Ovis aries: one gene and its partner. The protein of the gene in region 2 interacts with the protein of the main gene of each other region in a biochemical or structural test. Links are inferred from orthologs where the notes say so. Each region holds a gene or a part of one and is shown on either strand. Other genes may lie near its edges.

Evidence for each region.
Region 1: the proteins of IRF4 (region 2) and STAT6 form a complex in vitro, tested with the Homo sapiens proteins (2 studies listed by BioGRID). The link is inferred for Ovis aries from reciprocal best matches to the Homo sapiens genes IRF4 and STAT6.

The regions. Positions count from the first base shown.
Region 1 is NC_056056.1:162,503,703-162,507,444, reverse strand, and holds the start of STAT6 (signal transducer and activator of transcription 6), read right to left. Parts: upstream 2,469-3,742; 5' UTR 2,270-2,468; intron 1-2,269. UniProt on the Homo sapiens protein: Carries out a dual function: signal transduction and activation of transcription. Involved in IL4/interleukin-4- and IL3/interleukin-3-mediated signaling.
Region 2 is NC_056073.1:51,018,463-51,022,204, reverse strand, and holds the start of IRF4 (interferon regulatory factor 4), read right to left. Parts: upstream 2,759-3,742; 5' UTR 2,699-2,758; intron 1,529-2,698; 5' UTR 1,469-1,528; coding exon 1,253-1,468; intron 271-1,252; coding exon 84-270; intron 1-83. UniProt on the Homo sapiens protein: Transcriptional activator. Binds to the interferon-stimulated response element (ISRE) of the MHC class I promoter. Binds the immunoglobulin lambda light chain enhancer, together with PU.1.

The DNA.
Region 1 (3,742 bases), on a different chromosome or scaffold from region 2:
GCTGCCAATGAAGGGAGCAAATCCCTGATCGGGGAACTAAGATCCCACATGACCTGTGGCATGCTCACAAGATTTTAAAGACAAACAAACAAAAAGAAACCTCCCCTCCGTGGACCTCAATCTTCTCATCTACAAAATATGAGGCTTGGGTAAGGTATGAACTTTCCAAACTTTTTAAAGAAGTAGACCATTTTAGCCAGTTCTGTAAAATTTGAATTTCTCTGTTGAAATCAAGTGTGGTAGACCTGGAAATCTACAACTTCTTGCTTCCCTCTCTCCACCTCTGGACCCCAAAGGTGTCCCTGGAGAAATCCCTCAAAATTCTAGGGTTCCATGAAACAATCTGAAAACTGCCTGGCTAGATGAAGAAGAAGATGGTAAAGTAACAATAGCTATCATTCATTAAGCACTTACTATGTACGAGGCATTACACTGAGTGCTTTACCTCACTAAAATCTTGCAACAATTTTTAAAATATAAAATTATTCCGTCACAGGTAGAGAAACTGAGCTCAAGGAGGTTCTCCAACTTGCCAAGGCCACTCTGCAAGCGATCCAAACCCAAGTGGGGATAAACCACCACTCTGTGCCCTTAGGATCCCTTCTGGATCCAGATCTCATAATCCCAAGAGGAGGGGGACATGGAAGGAGAACTGAAGAAGAGGAGATAGAGCAAGAGGAAAAGTAGAGAGAACTCAGGAAGGAGAAAAAGTGAGGTTAATTAGCCTGCAGCAAAAAGCCTGGAAGAGAGGCGGAGAGGCTAGAGGACTACAAGGAAGAGAAGGAAAGGGGGCAAGAGGCAAGGAGATGGGAGAAGGTAGGAGGTAGTTGCCTCCCCATCCTAGGTGGACTGCAGGGCAGAGTGGGTAAACCAGTGGTTCCCCAGGGGTCTCTCAGTTCATGTTTCTCTTCCCAGAGATGACAGAAAGGATGGGGGTGGAAACTCCCTAGGTCTCCCTCAACCCACTTAGCCCCAAGTTCTGCTGCAGCACGTTAGCTTCTCCCCTCTCCCAGGACTCCCAAAGGAACAGAGAACAGTTCCTATATCCCCCTGACCTCTTTTCTCCCAAAGGCAGAATCCTCCCCCTCCTGCTCAGGGTCCTTTCATAGACCTTTCTCTACACCCACCTTGGGGTGGGGCACCTTTTGGTTTGTGTTTCAAACTTAAGGGAGGACTCCATTCCTCTCTTCCCTCTTTCGCTCCTGTTTCTCAGGGTGCTCAGACCGTTGACCTCTATCTCTACCCTACTGGGGGACCGAGGTGATCCCTAAGTCAGAGGCAGCTCCCCTTTCCTCCATATCCCCTAGATTAGGAAGAGTGACCAGCTTCCTGGCATGGCCCTGCCTTCAAATCTCCCCTACTCCATCGTCAGACAACGAGGGGCCAGACTTTCCCCTACTCCCACCCAATAACCAGGCTGGCTCAATCGGCCAGCCAGGCCAGGGGCATCTTCTGCTGTAAACCCCACTGAATACCGACAGGGAGGGAGGAGCCACGGCCTGGGGGGGCGGGGCCCGCGTTCCCTTCCCCATGGGGAAGGGAAGTCCAGGATCTTCATCAGCCCCGCTTCGTGGCCGAAACTTCACCTCAACCCCCGACATTCCTGAGCCCTCTGACCGTGGGACCACAGGATCAGAAGTCAAAAGAGCTTCTCTGAGTTGCCTAGTGTGTGTGTGCTGTGGTGGGGGCGGGGAGGGGCGCGGGGAGGCGGAGCCAGTTAGGCACCGGGAGGGTTAACTCCGTGACGCCGCCGGGCCCAGCGTGGAGCAGTTTTGAGGGGGAAATTCCCCCTCCTCTGGGGCACCATGAGGTTCTACTTCTGGGACACGCTCACCCCCTGGCCACACCCTTGAAGAGGAACCTTTGTGGGGGGCCCGGATAGGGGTCTGTGGAGGACCCACTGCCCCCTGCCATCAGTTTTCTATAGGGAGGGGCTGCCACTTCCCCCAAACCCAGAGGGCAGAGGGGCACCTCCTTGCCCTCCTTCCCCTGCCTTAACACGTCCCTGGATTGCGGGGGATGGGGTGTGTGGAAAAAGTGACCCATGCTGGGGAGGAGCAGGGCAAGTGCTGGGCCTGCACCCACTCCAGATTCCTCTGATATTTCGAAACTGCCAAAACTCAGTAACACCAGCCACCAGCCCCAGCTGAAACAATTTCTTGGGGACCATCCATTCTGCCCAGGCAGGATCCTGAAAAGCACTCCCATCCTCCCCCCACATTGGTAGTCAGAGGCCCCCCACCCTCCCTCCTTGGAGGCATCCCCTCACCTTGGCAACCCCTCTGTTGTCGTCTCCCTCTCTCAGCGGGCTCTGCCAGGCCCCATGGGTCTGTAGCTCTGTCCAGCGGGTTCAGGACTGGCCCTGCTAGCACCCCTCCTCCTCCACCACCACCAAAAAGAAAACACACACACACACACACACACACACAATCCTCTCCCGTCCTCCCTCTTCAGTGTAAGCAGTGGCTGCCCCAGCCCGCTGTTTCCGGCTTCTCCGACTACCCAGGTCCCTCCCTGGAGCTCTGACGACACAGAGAAGAGAAAGTGGGCTGGAGGAGGAAGAGGAAGAAAGTGGGGTGAGCATGTGTGCCTCTGGTATGGAGTAGGGGAGCATGGGCTGGGAGGGGGAGCCAGGACTGGGGCTTGGGGGCCCCTGGCGCCAGGCTGGAGGAAAGGCTGATCCCCGCTTACTCTGTCCCCCATCAAAAACAATCAACTTTCCTCCAGAAAGTCACCTAATATCAAGTAGAGACAAGCCACCCCAAACTACAGCTCCCATACTCAAACTCTTGCAAGGGCCGGAGGTTTGGGCTCAAGAAGGACTGGGCTCCCCACCCCCCCGGGGTGGGGGGCCGGCGGGGGGCTCTGGAAAAAGAAATCCCTCTGGCCCTGCACTCCCTCCAGTGGAAGACCCTGAAAGCGGCCGGGGAGCTGGGACTCCTCGGTTCCCCTCCCTGCTGGGTGGGGAACGCCCTAGAGGTCTCGTGACCCGCTGATGGGAGGGAGTGGGGGAGGGGGCTGTGAAGCTCACAATCCTGTAGGCCTCCAGGGATGCCTGGAACTGAAAATCCTTTCCGCCACCTCCTCATGGGGTACTACTCCGGAGACCCAGGTAGGAGCCAGCGGCAAGCTGGAGTTGCTGCCCGTAGATTCCCAAGGGACAAGTTTGAATATGAGTCTGCTGTGCAACCTTGGCAAAGTTCCTATCTGTTTCTGGGGTAAACACTGAGACACACCCAGAAATAAACGTGCATGTAGACAACTTCCCCAGCCAGAAGGACACTCCCTCCCACATACACACATGCTTACACACACGTGCAGGCAGGCTCACAGACATGTCAGCACTCAGAGCCACATGCAGTCACGAGGACACACACTCACACGCACAAGGCTTGCTCAGCTTCTGAGTCATCATTGTCACTACTGGATGGTTTTTGAAGCTTTGGCTGAAGGAAGAGCTGGAGGAGGCCAAGGGACCTTCAAGCCCCCAAACCTGAGAGATGTGTATGGGAAAAGGGTGGTCTCTGAGGAGCAGTGGAAGGTGGGAGGCAGTTTCTACTCCCCTCCTTTCTCCCCAAACAGGGCTGGGCTCAGGGGCCAAAGCCAGGCTTATGCTGCCCCCTGGTGTCCCATCTGATTCCCAGAACCTGGCTCCTCCCCCTCCCATCCACGTGGAAGGGCAAGTATGTGCAGGTCAGAGTCCCCAGCTAGGCAGAGGGTAGGAGTTAAGAACTTGGCCCCT
Region 2 (3,742 bases):
AAAGCAGCAAAGGGAAAACAGGACCCTGACAGGGAGCCGTCTTGAGGCGCGAGCGCAGGTGGCCCCAGCCCGGCAAGCCCCACCTTTCTTGGCTCCCTCGGGGACGATCCGGTACACTTTGTAGGGGTCCGAGATGTCCAGCTGGCTCCGCTCCACCAGCTCCTCGAAGTCGTTGCTCTTGTTCAGAGCACACCGCAGGCGTGTCTTCCAGGTGGGAGGGTCTGGCTTGTCGATGCCTTCTCGAAACTTCCCTTTAAACAGTGCCCAAGCCTGGTGAGAAAAAGTGGGGAAAAGTTAAAATGCAGGTCTTTCAAAAAAGAATCTGGAAATTGTATCTCTAAAGCAAAGAATGGCGGCAGGGGCTTCAGGTCCACAGGAAGGTGGGACAGAGGGTGTTTATGAAAGACGGGTGAGATTGAGGACCCCACAAAGCCCACCCCTCAGGAAGCAGTTAGGCTGGAAGCAAAGACAGAGCTGAGGGCTGAGGGGCCACCGCAGGGCACCTCTGGACGTTAGGGAGCCTGAGGCAAGCCTTACTCTTCCAGCAAGTTTCCTGAGGAAGTCCCCCTGCCACGCTCTGCCCACAGGTGGTGGGGCTGGGCCCTAAAGCACTGGCCACTGGGTAAACTGCCCAAGGGGAAAACGGTCAGGACAGGGACACACACACGGGGCAAAGAGAAACCCCCAGAGAGAGGCCCAAAGGAGACCCTGAGAGGGAGAGAGAGGAGAAAGAGGAAGGGAGAGAGACGGAGAAAACTTTCCAGGGAGAGACTCGGGAAGAGGGAGTCACACAGAGACAGTGAGACAGAGGGAGAGACGCGCCCAAGGACCAGAGAGAGCCCGAAGGAGAGCGCTGGCCAGAGAGGGGGCGTGAGGCGGGACAGCGTGGAGAGGGCGCAGGGACCAGCCCCGAGCGGCGCGGCGCACACAGCTGCCCGCGCGCAAGGAGGAGACACAGTCGGTACGTGGAGGCGAGGAGGTACCCAAAGTTCCAGAAAGAGGGCCCCAGGGAGAGAGAGGCGCAGCCTTGGCCCACCCCTCTACCCGGCGGGAGCGCGGACGGGCATCTGACTCCGGGGGACCGTGCGCCCCTCAGGCGTGGCACCGGCTCCGCCCTCTGCGAAGTTACCAGAGCAGCCGCGGGACCCCCGCGCTCCCGCACCAGGCCCGGTGCGCGCGGCGCGGACCGGCCCCCGGAGCCCGGGGCGGGTCGGCGCGCGGGCCCTGGCCCCTCCCAGCCCCGCCCGGGCACCTTGAAGAGCGCGGCGTCCTCCTCGCGGTTGTAGTCCTGCTTGCCCGCGTGCTTCCAGGGGATGCGGAAGATGCTCTTCTCCTCGTTCTCCCACACCAGCCCCGGGTACTTGCCGCTGTCGATCTGGTCGATGAGCCACTGGCGGAGCTTCCCGTTGCCGCAGCTCACGGAGCTCATGCCGAACTCGCCGCCTCGGCTGCCGCCCTCCAGGTTCATGCCCCGCGCGCCGACGCTGTCCCTTCGCAACCCAGGCTTCGCTCCGGCACTCGCTCCGCGCTGCGGGGAGAGGAGGCGGCCCTCGGCAATGACCACGAGGCCGCAGAGCCTCGGAGGCGGCGAGGCGCGCGCCGCCGAGTCTGTGACGCCCGAGCCGCGAGAGAAGGCCCTTCTCAGCCGCCCCGGCTCGTGCGTGCCCCTGGCGCGCCGCCCTCCCGCCTCCCTGAGCTCGTGCGCGACCTCACCTTCTGGACGCTCCACTCGCGTTTCCCCCCGCGGCCCGCACGCCGCCCAGACTCAGGGCTCTGATCTTCGCGCACCCCCGAAATCCAGCCGCCCCCACGCGTGGGCCTCCGTTTGCTCTCGTACTCCCGCTCCCCTGCCCAGGCCCAAGCCGTGGACAGTCCATCCCCCGTGCCACGGCCAGTTTCCGCCCGCGCCCCCGCCCGCGCCCCCGCGCCCCGGTGGCCCCGCGTGTTCCGCACGCGGGCTCCCCCGTGGCCTGGCCTTCCAGGTGCGCGGCGGCGGCAGCTCCCCCGCGGCTCTCTCTGAAACCCGCACTCTTTGCCCCAAGAATGCCCCGGAGCCCCAGACAGGTAGCGACGACCAGGTGGCCCGGGAGCCACACGCGGCAGAGGGACCCGGCCTCAGGCGGCGAGCGCAGCCTCGTCGTGGGGGATCCCCGCGCGCCGAGCATCAGCCGGGCGGGGAGGCCCGCGGGGAGCGCGGGGGCGGGAAGGTGCCGGGAAGGCGGGGGTCGCGGAGCGCGGGGCCCCTCGTGGCCTGAACTTGGAGCGCCTCCTCTTCCACCACCGGTCGGGAAGACGCGGGCTCGGGGCCGAGGGGGCTGTGAGCCCCTCAAGAGCGAGGAGCAAGAGAAGCAGCCTCGGGAGGAAGGGGCCGTCCCCGCGGTCAGGGCTGCCGCCCGGGGTGGGTCCCTTCGACGACCCCCTCGGGCGCTGATGGCCCAGCGACCTCGTTACCACAGCCGGCCCCGCGCGTGGCCTCCGGGGCCCGGGCTCGGCCGACCCGCGGACGCCGGGGCCGCGGGACTCCCCGGCCAAGGGCAGACGGGGTGGGCGTCGGGGTCCCTCGAGGGGCGTGCTCTCGCCTGGCGCCGACGCCGCGGCGGCCCGCGCTGCCCCGAGGCGGCCCCCACCCGGCTGGCCTCGCGCCGGGCTCCTGCGGTAGCGGGCTGGCAGCCCGCGTCCTTCCCGACCCCAGTCTTACCTCGCCCCGGCTTGAGCTGAGGGCAGCGGTGAGTCCCAAGTCCAAGCAGCGAAACTAACCTCGGAGGTAGGAAAGAGGAACTTTATAAAGCTTGAAAGCCGCGCTCGGGGCGGGGCCTACGCGGGGCGGGGCCGACCGGGGCGCCTCCCGGCGGGGCGGGGGCCGCGGGCGCGGGCCGGGCGCGCGGGGCTGGCCCGGGGGTTCCGGGCAGGGGGCCGGGCGCGCGGGGTGCGGCGGGGTCTGCGGACGGAGGGCCGGGGGCGCGGGGCCGGAGCTGGGCTAGGGGCTGCGGACGCAGAGCGCGGGGCGCGGGGCCGGGTCGGAACCCGGGCTGGCGGGGCGCCGGCTCCCAGCTGGGCGCGCGGGGCTGGTCTGGGGGCTCTGGGCAGGGAGCCGGGTGCGCGGGGTGGGGTAGTGGGCTGCGGACCGAGAGCCGAGGGCGCGGGGCCAGGCGGCGCTGGGGACGCACCTCGAGTCGGGCGCACGGGCCGGGGGAGCCTCACTCGGGCGGTTTCCTGCCGAGGGCAAGGCGCGAGGGGACCTCGTCTCCGCGGCGGGACCGCTGAGCAGGAGCTCAGCTACAGCGGCGCTGTCAGGGCGGGAAGTGGGGGCGTGCAGGAGCGGGAATCTGGTGCGATGGGGACTGGGCTTGCAGAGCTCGTAACCAAAGACAGGACTGTCCGTGTCGACCGACCGTGGGTGGGTGGGGGGCACCCTTGGCTGTCACCGAGAGCCCCGCCCCTCCGCCGTGTTTAGAGAACATCACACTCATTGAAAAGAAAAAAGGAAATGGCCCAGATACCTTGAGCTATAAACTGCGCTCACACGCTGTCTGGGCTTGAAATGCTCTCATCCTGCTGGTCGGCTCAACTGGAGGACTTCAGTAACTGAGACAGCACCCCCACAGCTTTAGCTGTGGCAGCAGGGAAGAACTGGAAGAAGTGTCCAGGTCCACCTCTCAGTGGCATAGTTTTAACCTCAACGTGGGAGAAACAATTTACAAGTGGGAGCTTAAATGGCCAGAATAAGAACAATATTTAAACA